Sus scrofa: one gene and its partner. The protein of the gene in region 1 purifies or fractionates together with the protein of each later gene. This does not show direct contact. Links are inferred from orthologs where the notes say so. Each region holds a gene or a part of one and is shown on either strand. Other genes may lie near its edges.

Evidence for each region.
Region 2: the proteins of DVL1 (region 1) and AXIN1 purify together in Homo sapiens (affinity purification with western blotting; 3 studies listed by BioGRID). This does not show direct contact. The link is inferred for Sus scrofa from reciprocal best matches to the Homo sapiens genes DVL1 and AXIN1.

Annotation. Positions count from the first base shown.
Region 1 is NC_010448.4:63,620,055-63,628,068, reverse strand, and holds part of DVL1 (segment polarity protein dishevelled homolog DVL-1), read left to right. Parts: intron 1-4,344; coding exon 4,345-4,414; intron 4,415-4,503; coding exon 4,504-4,625; intron 4,626-4,870; coding exon 4,871-4,974; intron 4,975-5,166; coding exon 5,167-5,305; intron 5,306-5,511; coding exon 5,512-5,605; intron 5,606-5,687; coding exon 5,688-5,757; intron 5,758-5,839; coding exon 5,840-5,979; intron 5,980-6,057; coding exon 6,058-6,134; intron 6,135-6,206; coding exon 6,207-6,274; intron 6,275-6,430; coding exon 6,431-6,583; intron 6,584-7,162; coding exon 7,163-7,294; intron 7,295-7,380; coding exon 7,381-7,827; intron 7,828-8,014. UniProt on the Homo sapiens protein: Participates in Wnt signaling by binding to the cytoplasmic C-terminus of frizzled family members and transducing the Wnt signal to down-stream effectors. Plays a role both in canonical and non-canonical Wnt signaling.
Region 2 is NC_010445.4:41,383,385-41,391,398, forward strand, and holds part of AXIN1 (axin-1), read left to right. Parts: intron 1-2,508; coding exon 2,509-3,035; intron 3,036-3,507; coding exon 3,508-3,678; intron 3,679-5,871; coding exon 5,872-6,117; exon of another isoform or gene 6,118-7,482; coding exon of another isoform or gene 7,483-7,590; exon of another isoform or gene 7,591-8,014. UniProt on the Homo sapiens protein: Component of the beta-catenin destruction complex required for regulating CTNNB1 levels through phosphorylation and ubiquitination, and modulating Wnt-signaling.

The DNA of each region.
Region 1 (8,014 bases):
AGCCCTTGGGTTCCTGGAGCAGCCTCTGGGTCAGGGTCCCTATGTCTGCACTTAGCAGTGGCTGTCCTGACCAAGGGGACTTCTCAGTTGTGCGGGGCAGCTGAGCCTCTAGAACAGTGAGTGGTGAGCAGAGGCCTGACCCAGCACAGCCACGGGTAACCTGAGTCCCCTGCTCAGCAGCGCTGGGGGGGCACCCAGAGGCTTCATGGGCCGAGCAGGTGTGCCTGGGTGCCCTCGGGCAGCCCGTGTCCTTGTGTGTGGCTGCGCCTCGGGACTTTGACATTGAGGCCGTTTCCTGGATTCTGCGGTTCGTAGGCCCAGGTCAAGTCAAGCTGAGGCCGCTGTGTGGCTCTCAGGGAGGCCTGAGGGCCATGTGGACAACTGGACTCCCTTGGGCCTGCCCAGCACGAGGGAGAGGCAGAGACGGGAGGGTGTGTCTGGGACAGCATCGGAAAGCTCGGTGCCCCCCGCCCTGCTGGGCCCAGGCTGGGCTCCACAGGGTAGGGCATCATTTAAGGGCATGTGATCCCAGCATGGACCTCGCTGGGCCATCCCATCTTCTCTGGGTCTGGCCTGCTTTGGGTGTTAGCATTGGGTATGTGAAAGTGTTTCGTTTTTAACTTGATTATTTTAATAAAAATCACTCAAGTCGCACATGCTCTGTCACAAACTGAAGCCAGCAGGGAGTGTGTGTCCAGGCATGTGCCCAGCCCCCCAGCTTGCTGCCCTTGGACCGTGATCCGGGCTGCATCCTGAGGGGTCTGACCCTGCTCCTGTGTCTGAGAGCCACTAAGCTGCCGAGACCCCTGTCCCGCTCAACGTGTTCTCCCAGCAGAGGCCGGGCCTCCTGGAGGACTTGCAGGACCTGGGTTCCCTGGCCTAGGAGGACAGTGGGCGGGCAGATCTGGGTCCTAAAGCATGAGTAGGAGCTCTTCAGGTCACCTGAGCATGTCTGGAATGTGGGGGAGGGAATAAGAGCAGTCTGGCAGATGGGGCTGGGACAGAGGGAGGGTTTGGGGTGACTTTGGAAAGTTCATCTTATCCCCCACCCCGATCTCTGGTTTGTGGGCTATTGGCCTCAGGGGACCCTTGGAGAGGATCAGCCTCCTTCTCCACCATACTAAGATCTACCTGCAGAGCTCTAGCTCTTATTTATTCTGTAAAGTCGCTTATTCAGTGGAATAAGTTTTCTCTGGGAGGAGCTGGTTAGTCATTCACACCTTAGTATAAACCAGAACTGGAGGCTCGTCCTGGATACCTAGTGGATGTAGTTGGAGGTTGTGGAGAGTGTAGGTCCTGGCTGGGCTGGGGCAGAAGCTGTCTCAGGAGAGGGGACTGTGAGGAGCGCCAGGTGAGCCTGGGCATCCTGCCCCAACCCCTCAGGCCACTGTGGGAGCCTGAGGTGTGGCCATAGCCACGTGCTCTGGGCCGACCCCCTCTCTTCCCCGTGGGCCTCTTTGACCAAAAGGGCGGCAAGTCCTGCACCCACTTCCCACTTTTCCTATGCAGGTCACAGCTATTGTGTCCTAGCAAAGCTGGGGAGGGTCTCTGGGCCTGGGGAGGGCTGGCCCGGAGGTGGGCCAGTGCTGGTGCAAGGAGGGGCTTGGCCTGGCCTTGGGGCCAAGGGGCAGAGGTTGAGGGCATTTGGTCACAGGTTTCTGCCACTAGGGCCGCTTTGCAGGTTCCAGGCCTGGCTGCTCTTGGCATGAAGCCATCTGTCTGGTGGTGGCCCTGGCCCCTTGGCGTCTGGGCTAGGAGCTCCAGTCTGTGGGGCCACCTGTCATGGTTTTGGGTGGCGTGGGGGTGCTGTGCTTGGCCTGGCCCAGAAGGCCCGCGGTCCCCCTCTACCGCTGCCGCTCAGCCCGCTGGGCTCGGGAAAGTCTAGACCTGTGACCCCCAGAGCCCGCGGCAGGTCGTGGAGGACTGGGACCCCTCACCCTGGAGCCTACTGCTGGTCAGGAGACAGTGAGGGGACAGATGAAGGCTCTGTGGGAGCTGAGGACCCCCAACTCATGGGGACACAGTTGGGGCCACCCGGTCGGGAAGGGCCGGCTGTGGTGTGCGGTGGCCTCTGGGGGCCCAGGGGTCCTCCTGGCCCCTGGCTTCGTTCCAAGGGCCCCACTTCGAGCAGATTCCTCACTGGGGCGAGTCTGCGAGGGCGGCAGGTGGGGCTGGGCATCCCAAGTTGGATGTTAACTGGGATCTCGCCAGGAACTCTGAGGTTGGGGGCAAGGTGCCAACAGGGGTGTCCCTGGGCAGCCAGCCCGAGGGTCAGTGCCTTCATCGACCACTGCTCCCGAGGCCTGCGCTCCTGCCTGCTGAGGCCCCACCCGGGAGGGAGCCCAGGGTGGTCTGGGGGCCTCTCCTGTGCACAGCCCAGGTCTCCCTGGATCCCACCCTGTCCCTCTTCCTGGCCATCGGCGGGGGTGGGCAGCACTGCGCACCCCGTACCCTTTTTCCTGGGGGCTTGGACACCTGCCCCCCCCTCCCTGCTGTCCCGGCCTAGCTGCCCCTCAGTGCCCCAACCTCCAGGGAGCAGGACGCTGTCCTGCGCAGGCTGGGAGGGGTGTTTCTTAGCCACAGAGGGCCGGCGAAGGGGGGCCTGGGAGGGGTGTGCCTGGGTGGGTGGGTGCGTGGAGGCTTCAGGCAGCTCTGGGGGATGGGCCATCTTGGGGTACTGGCTGCATGGGCAGTGGGGCCTTGGGGTGCTCCTGGGCCCCCCGGCCTGGGGTGCCTGCCTCAAGGGTGCCAGGCAGGCCCCAAGGATGAGTCACAAAGGGTGGGGGCGGGGGTGCAGCGGAGGTGGCTGGCTGGGCTCCCTGGGCCGTGAAGCGGGCACCAGGTCCCTCCTGGGTCTGTGGCTGCTTGGGTGCCCAGGAGGGCTTGCTGTAGTCCCTTGTATGTTGGCTGCAGATGGGCAGGACCCCAGGTGTCCCCAGGCCACCCAGGTCTTCCTGTGGTGACAGCTCTCTGTGTAGCTTTCTCGGTTGAATCTTGGACTGGTCCCGGACGTGGTGTGAGAGTGGGGCCGCAGGCAGGGTCTGCTCGTCACTAGGGAGAGGAGGGGTCCGAGGAGTGGCTCTTTTCATCTGCCAGGGTGTCCCCCTATTGTGTGTGTGTGTGTGGGTGGCCGGGGGCGGGGGGCAGGTGGTCACCGTAGCCCCCGGCAGTGCCCTCCCTCTCCAGACGGGCTCTGTCTGCTCCACATCCACTCTGCCCCAAGGGCCCTGCTCCCTGGTGGGAGGTGGTGTGTCAGCTCTGCGGGGGACTCCTGCCCTTGCTGCGGCCTGGGACCAGCCAAGTGGAGGGGTCCAGGCCCAGCAGGCTGTGAGGCTGTTTCCTGCCTGGTCTCTGGCTCTTCTTTCTGCACTGGGCCTCAGTCCCAGGTGTAGACGTCTGCACGCTGGGCAGGGCGGATTCCAGGGGGCAGGCGCCGGGGCCCTTCCCACTGCAGGCCCCGCCCTGCCTGCCCTGCTTCCCCCCCCACACCCCCCACCCCCGGCCTCCAGGAGGTTGCAGTACAGGATGTGCGGGGCCACGGCCATGGCCACAGCCTGCCCTGCCCTGCCCCACAGCCCCTCCCCTGCTGCCCTCCTCACTCCTTTGAACCTGATGCCTAGATCTCCTGAACCTGTTTCTGACCCCAGGGTCACTAGCGTCCTTCCCAGTGGGTGCTGCCCTGGCCCTCTGCGACCTGCCCTTCCCACCCCTCAAGCTCACCCGGCTGGGGCAGCATCGAGGGACAGGCCAGGGCTAGCTGCTGGGCAGTGGCTGGTGGGGCTCGCTGACCTCCAGGACCTGAGCCTTCTTGTGGGCCCAGCTGGCCCTAAGCCTACTTTTCCAGGTCTTGCATTGGGCTGGTGCAGTGAGTGGCATCTGCTTCTGTGTCCCTGGTCGCCGATGGGCATGCCTCTGAGTGTGTGTGCTTGTGGGTCCGTGTGCCGGGCACCCTGGCCTGCCTGGGTCTAGGGGTCCCTTTGTGCCGCGGCCCTCCGCATTGCGAACCGGGTGCTGTTCTGGGCCGGTGGGGCGGGCCCCGCCCTCCAGATCCACACTCCAGGGGCGCAGGCACCATGCAGGGTGGGTTGTTCCACGGAGCCCTAGGCTGTGATCTGCTGCTGGGGGGTCGAGTGTCTGTGCCCCCTGAGTCCTTGGAAGGATGCTGGAGTTTCCCAGGAAGGGAATGTGCTGGACCAGGGCGTCCACAGGGACTGACCTCTGGGCCTGTGGCTGGACGCCCCAGGTGGCACATGCCCCAGGCCAGCTGGGGGCCTTACTCCAGCGCCTGCTGGCCACAGACGGGGCAGCCCCCAGGGTGGCAGCTTCACGACTGTCTGCCCACAGGGTGGTGAAGGAGGAGATCTCTGACGATAATGCCAAGCTGCCCTGCTTCAACGGCCGTGTGGTCTCCTGGGTGAGTCTGCAGGGGCTGGACACCTGTGCCCGGGGCCCTGCCGGGGTGGCCTGGAAGCCTCGTCCCTGAGTCCTCGCTCTCCTCTGCAGCTGGTCCTGGCTGAGGGCGCACACTCGGATGCGGGGTCTCAGGGCACTGATGGCCACGCGGACCTGCCCCCACCTCTTGAGCGGACGGGTGGCATCGGGGACTCCCGGCCCCCCTCCTTCCAGTAAGGACTCTGGGGGGTGGCGCTGAGCCCAGTGGTCCTGAGGGACCTGCCAGGCCTGTTGGGGATGGAGAGGGGCAGCAGAGCAGGGGCCTGTGGTCAGCAAGCGCTGGTCAGCAGGGGCCCAGAGCGGGCTGGGGGGTGGATGGGGGCCCTTGCCAGAGTTGGAGTTCCACCAGATGAGGGAGGAAAGGAGCTGAGGGCATCCACGGCCCGGCCTGCCCCACCCTGCCTTCCTCTTGGCGCAGCCCGAACGTGGCCAGCAGCCGCGATGGGATGGACAACGAGACTGGCACAGAGTCCGTGGTCAGCCACCGGCGGGAGCGAGCTCGCCGCCGGAACCGTGAGGAGGGTAATTAGGCCACACCTTTGACCTCCCTGGGCCCCTGGGGGGCACCCCAGGCCCCTGCTGTCCAGTGGGGTCCCTCGGTGGAGGTTCCTGACTCAGCTGACAGGATCCTAGCGACCCCCCCTCTGCAGCAACCCCAGCAACAGGTGCTCCAGGGCACCCCGCAGCCATCTCCCCTCCCTGCTGTGCCCACAGCTGCCCGGACCAACGGGCACCCGAGGGGGGACCGGCGGCGGGATCTGGGGCTGCCCCCCGACAGCGCGTCCACTGTGCTGAGCAGCGAGCTCGAGTCCAGCAGCTTCATCGACTCGGACGAGGACGACAACACCAGTCGGTGGGCATGGGCGGGTGTCCAGGCGCGTGCGGGTGTCCGTGTGCCCACGAGCAGGGGCCGGGCCGGCTGCCTCGTGTCTGCCGAGCCGTGGGGCTCCTGTTGCGGGAGCAGGGGCTGAGCCCGTTCCGCAGCGCGTCCCGCGCGGGCTTCCCTGGGGTGCGTGCAGGCGGAGAGGCTGCCGGCGCCCTGACCCTGTGCCCCCGCAGGCTGAGCAGCTCCACCGAGCAGAGCACCTCGTCCCGGCTCATCCGGAAGCACAAGCGGCGCCGGCGGAAGCAGCGCATGCGCCAGACGGACCGCGTAGGTGGAGGGGGTGCGGGCCGCTCTGTCCCCTGGGGCCGCCGCGCCGCCCGCAGCCCCTCACCCAGGGCCGCCCCCGCAGGCCTCCTCCTTCAGCAGCATCACGGACTCCACCATGTCGCTGAACATCATCACCGTCACGCTCAACATGGGTGAGGCCTCTGCCGCCGCCGCCGCCAGAGGGGCCCGGGGCTCGGGGGCGGGGGGCGCTTGTTCACACACCCGGCCCCGCAGAGAGGCACCATTTCCTGGGCATCAGCATCGTGGGCCAGAGCAACGACCGGGGCGATGGCGGCATCTACATCGGCTCCATCATGAAGGGCGGGGCTGTGGCCGCCGACGGCCGCATCGAGCCGGGCGACATGCTGCTGCAGGTGTGGGGCTGCCAGGGGCCGCGGGGAGGGGCGGGCGAGGTCTGCACCCCCCACCACTGTGCTGACCCCCCGCCCCAGGTGAATGACGTCAACTTCGAGAACATGAGCAACGACGACGCCGTGCGGGTGCTGCGGGAGATTGTGTCCCAGACGGGGTGAGGCGCGCGCGTGGCGGGGGGAGGGGGTGCTGCTTGGGGCCTCGCCGGTGTGACCCGCCCACCCCGCAGGCCCATCAGCCTCACGGTGGCCAAGTGCTGGGACCCAAGCCCTCGGAGCTACTTCACCATCCCGAGGGGTGAGTGACCCCCCCGGGGCTGGCGGGGCAGGGCGGGGGCGGGGGCGGGGGCGCCCAGCCCAGCCTGAAGGGCCTCTCTCCCTGTGCTCCTGTGCCCCTGTGCTCTGCCTTCTTCCCCACTGTCCATTCGTCTGTCGCCACACGGTGGCTGCCCAGCTGACCCGGTTCGGCCCATCGACCCGGCCGCCTGGCTGTCCCACACGGCGGCGCTGACCGGAGCCCTGCCCCGCTACGGTACGAGCCCCTGCTCCAGCGCCGTCACGCGCACCAGCTCCTCCTCACTAACCAGCTCTGTGCCCGGCGCTCCGCGTAAGTGGCGGCTCCTGAGATCAGAAAACGGAGGCACCCGTGAGGGCCCAGCCGAGGCGCCTGCCTGGCACGGCCACCCCCGAGGGCCATCCCGGCTTGAGCGTTGGTGCTGGTGCCAGGCCCACGAGGGCGGACACTGTACCCTGGGGTCACGGACACATGGGCGCCCACGCTCGCACCCTCTTCCCAGCCCTCTGTCTGTAGTGGGAGGGAAGGGCCTGGGGGGCCGGGCCGGGCCTGCCCAAGGGTCTGCTATCTGGCAGGGGCAGGCGGCATCCGTGTGGCCCTCACGCTGCTTTTCTGCCACTAACATGACTAATAGGCCCAGCTTGCGGGGAAGGGGGTGGAGGGGGTCTGGTCTCCGCCCCGTGGGGTCCGGTCTGCAGGGCGGGGGTGGCCTCGCCTGGTTGGCCACAAGACCTGGTGAAGCATCTCCCTGTTGGAGATGAGGCCCCACCCTCCCCGCCCCAGGCCGCTCCCTGACCCTGTGCGGGCGGTCGGGTGGGTGGTGGAGGGTCCTTGCGGCCGTGCTCGCGGCTGTGCTCCCGGCCGTGGCTGAGCGCGGGGTGTGCCTTGCAGAGCTGGAGGAGGCGCCCCTGACGGTGAAGAGTGACATGGGTGCTGTCGTCCGGGTCATGCAGCTGCCGGACTCGGGCCTGGAGATCCGCGACCGCATGTGGCTCAAGATCACCATCGCCAATGCCGTCATCGGTGCGGGGCCCTGGGCAGCGGGGGGCTTGGGGGCGGTGGGGCGCGGCCCAGGCTCCCCACCTGACGCCTGACGCCGGCTGCGCCAGGGGCGGACGTGGTGGACTGGCTGTACACGCACCTGGAGGGCTTCCGCGAGCGGCGGGAGGCGCGCAGGTACGCCAGCAGCATGCTGAAGCGCGGCTTCCTGCGGCACACGGTCAACAAGGTCACCTTCTCCGAGCAGTGCTACTACGTCTTCGGGGACCTGTGCAGCAGTGAGTGGGGGCCACGGGCAGAGGGCCCCGGAGGACCCGCCCGCCTCCCCTTACCTGCCCCCCCTCCTGCAGATCTCGCAGCCCTGAACCTCAACAGCGGCTCCAGTGGAGCCTCCGATCAGGACACGCTGGCCCCGTTGCCCCACCCGGCTGCCCCCTGGCCCCTGGGCCAGGGCTACCCCTACCAGTACCCGGGGCCCCCGCCCTGCTTCCCACCCGCGTACCAGGACCCTGGCTTCAGCTACGGCAGCGGCAGCGCTGGGAGCCAGCAGAGTGAAGGTGAGGGCCCGCCGGCCAGCGTCCAGCTCCCTGCCTGCCCACCTGGCTCTGCCCTGTTGCCCACCCCCTCCCCGCCCCCCGCCCTGTGCGCTCCCACCTGCTCTGTGCTCGGGCCCTGGGTGGCTTCTTCTGGAAGGGGTGAGTGGTTAGAAGCTTCAGGGGTTGGGGGGGGGCGCTGGTGTTCCAG
Region 2 (8,014 bases), on another chromosome or scaffold:
TGCGGCCTCTAGCTCCCTCCCGTCGGGCGACTTGGCCAGGCCGAGAGGGCTCTGCTCCCCACCGCCCCCGGGGTCGCCTCACTGCTGGGGAGCGAGTGGCTGGCGGGGCACAGTCGCTGCCGTCGTGCCCTCCCAGGCTGCTCTTGTTTGGAGCCCTCGGACCCCTCCAGGAGCTGAAGGACAGCTGGGGTCGGGGACCACATGTCAGTGGGGAGGGGCCCGGCGGCAGCCCCGACAGGCCTCTGGTGCGCAGAGCGGGGTCTCTGAGAGGCCCAGGTGCTCGCGTGTGGCGAGGCCGCATCCTCCTGCTCTGGCAGCAGGTCCGGGGCACGGCCTCTGTGAGAGAGAGGCTTTCGTGCTCTGAAAACAAACGTGCTTGGGCACTAACGTGCATCGCCGTGTGGAGGAAGTGTGAGCAGGCACGCGGCTGCTGCCTTTGCGCTGTAGAGTTGAGCTAGTGTGGTCCAGGTTTTGGTCTCGGCTCCAGGGCTGTGTGTCCTCGTGGTCCCGGCAGGTCAGCGTTGCAGGGGGACCTCCGCCTTCCCCAGGCAGTTGTGGCCGTAGGTTGGAGCAGGCACTTCTTTTTTGTTTTGTTTTTATGGCCGCACCATGGCACATGAAGTTCCTGGGCCAGGGATCAGATCTGAGCCACAGCCAGGCCATACACAGCAGCTGTGGCATCATCAGATCCTGTCTCTCACCGCACCGGGCCGGGGTTCGAACCCGTGCCTCCGTAGCATCCTGAGCAGCCGCAGTCAGGGTCTTAAGCCATTGCACCACAGTAGGAGCTCCTGAGCCTGTGTGTCTGACATCTGAGTCTGAGACTCTGTGGCGTCCCGGCAGGCGAGGGCAGACGGGGTGCTGTTCTCTCATTTGGCAGCGTGTAAACGAGCAGCCCTGCATTTCTCCAGGGTCAGTTCAGGAAGCAGGAGGAGGGCGCAGGGCCTCCATCTCAGGTGGGCTTCGTGTGGGGGCCTCGGGTTGGGGTCCCTACAGCTGGCAGCGCCATCTCAGGTTTGTTAGCGGGTGCGATTGTAACTTAGGTGAGTTGTACTGGGAAAGAGATTTCTCTTCTAAGAGGAATAACTACGCATTTTTAAATGACTTATTTTCATTGTAAAATCTGGAAAATAAAAGTAAAAGAAAATGGGGGTTCTCGTGGTGGTTTAGCAGTAATGAACCCACCTAGTGTCCATGAGGACTCGGGTTTGAGCCCCAGCCCCACTCAGTGGGTGACGGATGTGGTGTGGCTGTGGCGGTGGTGGAGGCCGGCAGCTGCAGCTCCGATTCAGCCCCTGGCCTGGGAACCGCCATGTGCCACAGGCGCGGCCCTAAAAAGCCAGGAAAAACAAAGAAAGAAAAAGAAAAAGAATATTAGCAGCTGAATGTTAGGTGAACCTGTGGCATTTTGAAACCCCAGGTGGAATTTCGGTGCACGCAGAGCTGTTAAGGAGGCTGGAGCTCGGGTCCCCAGGCGTCCAGAAGCTCCCCGTGGCTCCCTGGCCTTTCAGGGCAGTCGGCGTCAGCAGCGCCCAGGCCACCAAGGCCTGGCCAACAGTTTCCCGGGGCCCCCAGCCCCTCATCCCTGCAGAGCGTGGGGCTGGGACGGAGACACTGGTCGGGTCTCTGCTGGGGCGACTCCCAGCCACGCCCGTGAGGTGCGCGTCCCCTGGGTCCGTGCCCCTCTCCCCATCTGTCCTCTTTGGCGGCTCGTCCACGTGACACGCTGCCGCTGTGCAGGGCCGAGGAGCTGGGCGGTAGACCTGTGGAGACCTGTTCGTGCTCATCCAGGGCGGCTTTGTCTCCCGGTCTCTCAGTCGTGACCGTCTCACTCCGCATGCTGGTGGGGGCGAGCCCGCGAGACAGGAATCCCAAACAGGTGTCCCTTCAGGAATTACAGCAATCACACATTCCTGTGTACAGATATGGGTGTGGTCACTGTTTGAGTCCAGGGAAACCACTGGCTCAGGGTGAGAATTGGAGTTCCCATCGTGGCGCAGCGGAAACGCATCCGACTAGGAACCATGAGGTTGGGGGTTCGATCCCTGGCCTCGCTCAGCGGGTTAAGGATCCGGCGTGGCTGTGGCTGTGCTGTAGGCCAGCAGCTGTAGCTCCGATTGGACCCTTAGCCGGGGAAGCTCCATGTGCCCCGAGTGCGGCCCTTTTAAAAAAAGACGAAAAAGAGCTCATCTGTCGATGGGCATGATGGAAGATACGGCCGTGAGATTGAGGAGTAGGAAAACTCAAAAACAGTGCAGTTTTTATTGAGGCATCGGAGAAAGCAGAGGCAGGGCCCAGCTTCCTGGCGGGCTTCTGGGCCTGTGGCTTCGTGCCCCTCCTGGGCGCCCTCCTGCCGCGCAGCCCACCCACAGCCCTGCCGCATGCGAGGGACCCTGGCCTGGCCCCGCCTAGTCCTGGCCTCTGCTGGTCTGGTGTTTGTCTCCTCAGGTGTGGGACTTCTACGGTGTGGGCAGTGCCAAGAGGTGACGCGCAGCCTTGTCCCCACAGGAGGAGGAAGGCGAAGGTGGTGATGTGTCCTCTGCCCCCCCAGGGGCCAGTCACAAGCTGCCTGCGGCCCCGGCCTGGCACCACTTCCCAGCGCGCTACGCGGACGTGGGCTGCGTGGGGCTGCGGGACGCGCACGAGGAGAACCCCGAGAGCATCCTGGACGAGCACGTGCAGCGGGTCATGCGGACACCGGGCTGCCAGTCGCCAGGACCCGGCCACCGCTCCCCGGAGAACTCGCACATGCCCAAGATCGGGGTGCTGGGGGCCGCGGTGCCCGGACACGGAAAGCACGCGCCCAAGTTGGGGGTGAAGCTCGACGCAGCTGGCCTGCACCTCCACAGACACAGCCACCACCATGGCCACCATGGTGCCGCCAGGCCCAAGGAGCCGGCCGAGGCCGAGGCCTCCCGCCGGGTCCAGAGCAGCTTCGCATGGGGCCCGGAGCTGCACGGCCACGCGGCCAAGCCCCGCAGCCACTTGGAGAGCCTGGGGACCCCTCTCAACACCGGTGACAGCCTGGCCTACAGGTGGGTGTCTGCGGCAGCCCGCACGTGGGGACAGGCCAGGGCTGTGCTCACGTCGTCCCGTGTCGGTGTCGGCTCGAGGCCTGAGGCCGTGTGTCCTGTGGACCCTGTGCCAGGGTCCACGCCGGATTCCCCTGTAACAGTCCTTAAACTGAGGTCAGCCCCAGAGGCTGCATTAAACCCGTGTGCCCGGGCGTCCTGATCCCTGGGCTTCCGCCTCGAGTGTGGTGGGATCAGATGCGCCCAGTGCCGAGGGCCTGCCTGGGTGAGGAGGTGGCCGGGCCCTGGCTGCTACCACCTTGGCTCCAGCCCTCCCAGACGGTGCTGCTGGACCCTTCCTTCCCTCCCCGCCGTCGCATCCAGCCCGCGGCGCTGTCGAGGCCTCTGCCCTTTGGGTCCCCCTCCCCCCACCATACGGCTCGCAGCAGCAGCAGGCCAGCGGACGGCAGCGGTGGCCCGGGTCTTGCTCTTGCAGCGGCAAGGCAGGCATGACCTCCAAAAGAAGCGCCAAGAAGGCCGAGTCAGGGAGGAGTGCCAGCGCAGAGGCACCGGGCCCCTCCGAGGATGCGGAGAAGAACCAGAAGATCATGCAGTGGATCATCGAGGGCGAGAAGGAGATCAGCAGGCACCGGAAGGCTGGGCATGGGTGAGGGGGCGTGGCCGAGGGGGCCTGGGTGAGAGGGCACAGCTGAGGGGGGCCCCCTGCCAGCAACCTGACCAGCTGGTCTAGCCACGGGCCACGGGCCGTGGACACGAGAAACCTGTAGAATGGGGCCCGGTCCGTGGTAGCCTTAGGGTGGTGCCTTCCTGTGGGGGCGGGATCGTCAGGGAGCTTCAATGTCTGTCCCCGCTGCCACCCACCTACCTCGAGGCCTGCCAGGCAGGGGCTGCTGCCACCTGGATGCCTTCCGGGTCTGACCTGCTTATCCCTGGCAGCTGGGGGCCGGTTCTCATCTGCTCTTTGATCCTCTGGGCTCTGTGTGGTCAGTCTCGGTGTCACCCCCGTCCCCATCACGGGGGGGATGGGGGCCCGAGGCTGCTGGAGTCTCCCCTTGGTGGGCAGGCCATCCGACTCCCACAGGCAGATGCCCTCTGCCCTCCCGGGCACGGCTGGGGAGGCCTCAGTGGTGCATGAGGCAGGCGAGTTGGACCCGGGGTCCCTGATCTTGCCTGCAGGCGACCTGGAAATGAGCCCTCTGCCAGTGTCCAGACGCTTTGCAGCCGTGCTGCTCGGGGGCCCACTCTGGGAGCCCCTCCTCGTGGGGTTGGGTGGGGTGGATTCTCAGCCTCTGATGTTCACCAGGGGTGGCTCTGTCCTCGCAGCGCCTACTGCATGGAGAGTTTCTAGGGGACAGAGCAGGAGTGGAAGGGTCTCCCGGCTTCGGCAGCCTCCTGCCCTCTGCGTGGCTGTGGACCTGGGGGGTGGCAGCGTGGGGACCAATGGCCCTGGGCGGGGAGGGAGGAGCAAGGAGCCAGGGCCAGGGGCTGGGCTTCCTGTGGGGCTTTTTGGAGTCCGCCCCCAGCCTGAGGCGGTTTTGGTGTCACAGGGGCACTGGCGGCCCCTTCCTGGGATTCTCTTTTTTTTTTTTTGTCTTTTGTCTTTTTAGGGCCACACACATGGAGGTTCCCAGGCTAGGGGTCCAATCGGAGCTGTAGCCACCGGCCTACGGCACAGCCGCAGCAACACAGGATCCGAGCCGCATCTGCAAGCTTCATCACAGCTCAGGGTAACGCCGGATCCTTCACCCACTGGGCGAGGCCAGGGATCGAACCCGCAACCTCATGGATACTAGTCGGGTTTGTCACCCTCTGAGCCACGACGGGAACTCCGGGATTCTCTGGTTTTTGCTCCCGGTGCTAAGCTTGCTTTCCGAGGCCTCCGGGCTCAGCTCAGAGAAGCCGCTGTTTCCCCTCAGATCCCCCTAGTGGGCGAGCAAGGGCCGGTCACCCAGGTGCAGCCTGTTCTCAGTGTCTGATAAAGGAGAATGGGCAGCACGTTGAGGGAAAATCAGGGAATTGATAGGTGCAGAATTATGTCAACTATGTCGGGGGTTTTTGGGGGGGCCCTTTTGTTTGAGGGCCGCACTTGCGGCCTATGGAAGGTCCCAGGAATTTCCCAGCTGTAGCGAATTGGAGCCACAGCTGCCGGCCTCCACCACAGCTGCCGGCCTCCACCACAGCTGCCGGCCTCCACCACAGCTCACGTCAACACCAGATCCTTAACCCAGTGAGCGAGGCCAGGGATCGAACCAGCGTCCTTAAAGATGCTAGTCGGGTTCGTTAACCATTGAGCCACGACAGGCACTGCCCGGTGAAGTTTTTTTTTTTTTGTCTTTTTGCCCTTTCTGGGGCTGCTCCCGTGGCATATGGAGGTTCCCAGGCTAGGGGTCGAATCGGAGCTGCATCCACCGGCCTACGCCAGAGCCACAGCAACACGGGATCCGAGCTGCGTCTGCAACCTACACCACAGCTCACGGCAACGCCGGATCCTTCACCCACTGAGAGAGGCCAGGGATCGAACCCGCCACCTCATGGTTTTTAGTCGGATTCGTTAACCACTGCGCCACGACGGGCACCCCCCGGTGAAGTATTTTTAACAAGGAAAGAAATACACTAAATATTCCAAGAGTGGCAATTTCCAAATTGATTTGTTTTTTCATCGACTTTCCCGCATGCAGGAGGCAGGAGGGGACGGTGTTTGCATGGGATGCAGTTTACAGTTCAGTAACGCTCTTAAACCCAGTAGGAAACCGGTGTCGGGAACGCGCTGTGTGCCGGGCGTGCTGGAGGCCGGGGCACGGGCTTAGGCAGCTGCCTCATCTTCTCTCTGACCCCGCAGGTCGTCTGGGGCAAAGAAGCAGCAGGCCCATGAGAGCTCCAGGCCCCTGTCCATCGAGCGTCCTGGGGCCGTGCACCCTTGGGTCAGCGCCCAGCTCCGCAACTCCGTCCAGCCCTCGCATCTCTTCATTCAAGACCCCACGATGCCGCCCAACCCGGCCCCCAACCCCCTGACGCAGCTGGAGGAGGCCCGCCGGCGTCTGGAGGAGGAGGAGAAGCGAGCCAGCAAGGTGCCCTCCAAGCAGAGGTACGGGCCTCAGGGAGGGCAGGGGCTGCCTGTCCGGCTCCCCCCGACCCCCGTGCCGTGGCGCTGCGACGCTGTGGCCCCGCTTCCTGGGTGACGCTCCCGGGGCCTGCGGCGTGTGTCGGGGCTGGGGAGCGAGGGGAGCCTCCCCGAGTCACTGCTGCCCTGTGAGGGCGCTCACTGGCCTTCACCCTGCGGCTCCGAGGTTGCGGTCAGACCACCAGGGGCTGCTGAGCCGGCCGAGCTCACAGGGTGGTCCCTGAACGGGCCGTTCACGTGCACGCGGGCGTCCTGTTGGGGCAGGTGTCTGTGCTGAGACACGTAGGGCCGTCGCATTTAGAGAGACACCGCCTTCCTCCCTTCCCTTCTCCGCCTGCAGGGCCGGGCGGTGGGCCTGGCTGCTGTGTCACCCTGCCAGGCCGTCTTCTCCCCCTGAGGGAGCCGGGGGCCCCCCCTTGGTGGGGGCATATTGTTCCTCCAGGCTGGACCCTCTCAGCTGGGCCTTGAGGTCCCTTTCCTGGGAGGGGCCGGGCAGCCTGGGCAGTGGGGTCGTAAACCTGCGGCCACTGCTGCTCAGGCCTCATTGGCTCCCCTCGCGCCGACTCCTGTCAGCCGGACCTCTGGCTCCAGCCTCACTGTGTGGACCGCCCTGCTCTGGGGACGCCAGCGTCCATCTCAGGCACAGCCAGAAGCAGGACGTGTACCCCAGCTTGTCAGAGGCACCCACATTTACTGCCGCTGTCTTATCCCGGGGTCTTCTGTCGGTGCAGAGCCCGGGGGCCGCCCCCATCTGACAGGCCTGCGCGCTGGAGGCAGGCAGGGCGCCAGGGCTGGGACGCAAGGACCTCCTCTGTGCAGCATGTCCTCTCTGGCCCGCGACACCGAGCTGAGCCACATACGGGTCGGCCCAGGGCATGCGGGCCTTTGGCCACTGGCTACAGACCCAGAGCAAAGGTCGCCGGGCCTCCTCATGGGGCGGCCCCCCCAGGCTGATCACGTAGAAGTCACCTCAAGGCCACGTCAGCCGGGGTGGACGGCCCCGGGGAGAGGAGCGGCTGGGCGGCGTGCCCTCCAGATGCCGCAGAGCCCGGGTCTGCGTGGAGCGCGGCATGGGAAGAGCCACTCCTCGGGCCGAAGCGGCAGCCCCCCATGAAGGCCGAGGCCCCCGGCGTGCGTGTGGACGAGCAGCTCCGGGAGCCCGAGGTCCGCTCTGGATGGACGGGCGCGTGTTGGTGTGGATGCACCCGAGGAGCCCAGCGTTCTCAGCCCTGCTCCAGCAGCCACGTCCTGGGCGCCTCCCGTGCGGGAGCCCTGCCCGAGCCGGCTGACCTGCGCCTGCCGCCGGTTCACTGGCGCGTTGTTCCCTAGGTATGTGCAGGGGGTCATCCAGCGGGGGCGCTCGTGCGCCAGGCCAGCGTGCACGCCCGTGCTGAGCATGGTGCCAGCGGTGTCCGACCTGGAGCTCTCCGAGGCAGAGCACGTGCGCTCCCCGCCGGTCCTCCCATCCTGCCCACCCTGCCCCGCTGGCCAGGCCCGGCAGTGGCATGGCTCTGCCCAGAGGGCAGCTCGGGCACGTCGCCCGAAGAGCCGGGGCTGCAAGTTGCGTCTCTGCCGAAGGAACCGCCGACTGTCCACGTGGTGACACGCCACCACTGGGCCGGAGAGGAGGGCCGCACTCCTCCTGCTCCCCCGCCACATGTCCCCCACCAGGCCTTGCGACACGCTGGGCTGCCACCTGTCTGGCCTGCCGGGGTCAGGGCTGCAGCCGGGGCGCCCCTGGCACACAGCCGCCCGAGGTGTCCTCATCGGGCACTTTGCACACAGCGACTGGCTCTTTCTCACGTGGGCCAGGCTGGGTCTCAGGGAGCCACGTGCTGTGTGTAGACAGGGCCGGCCACTT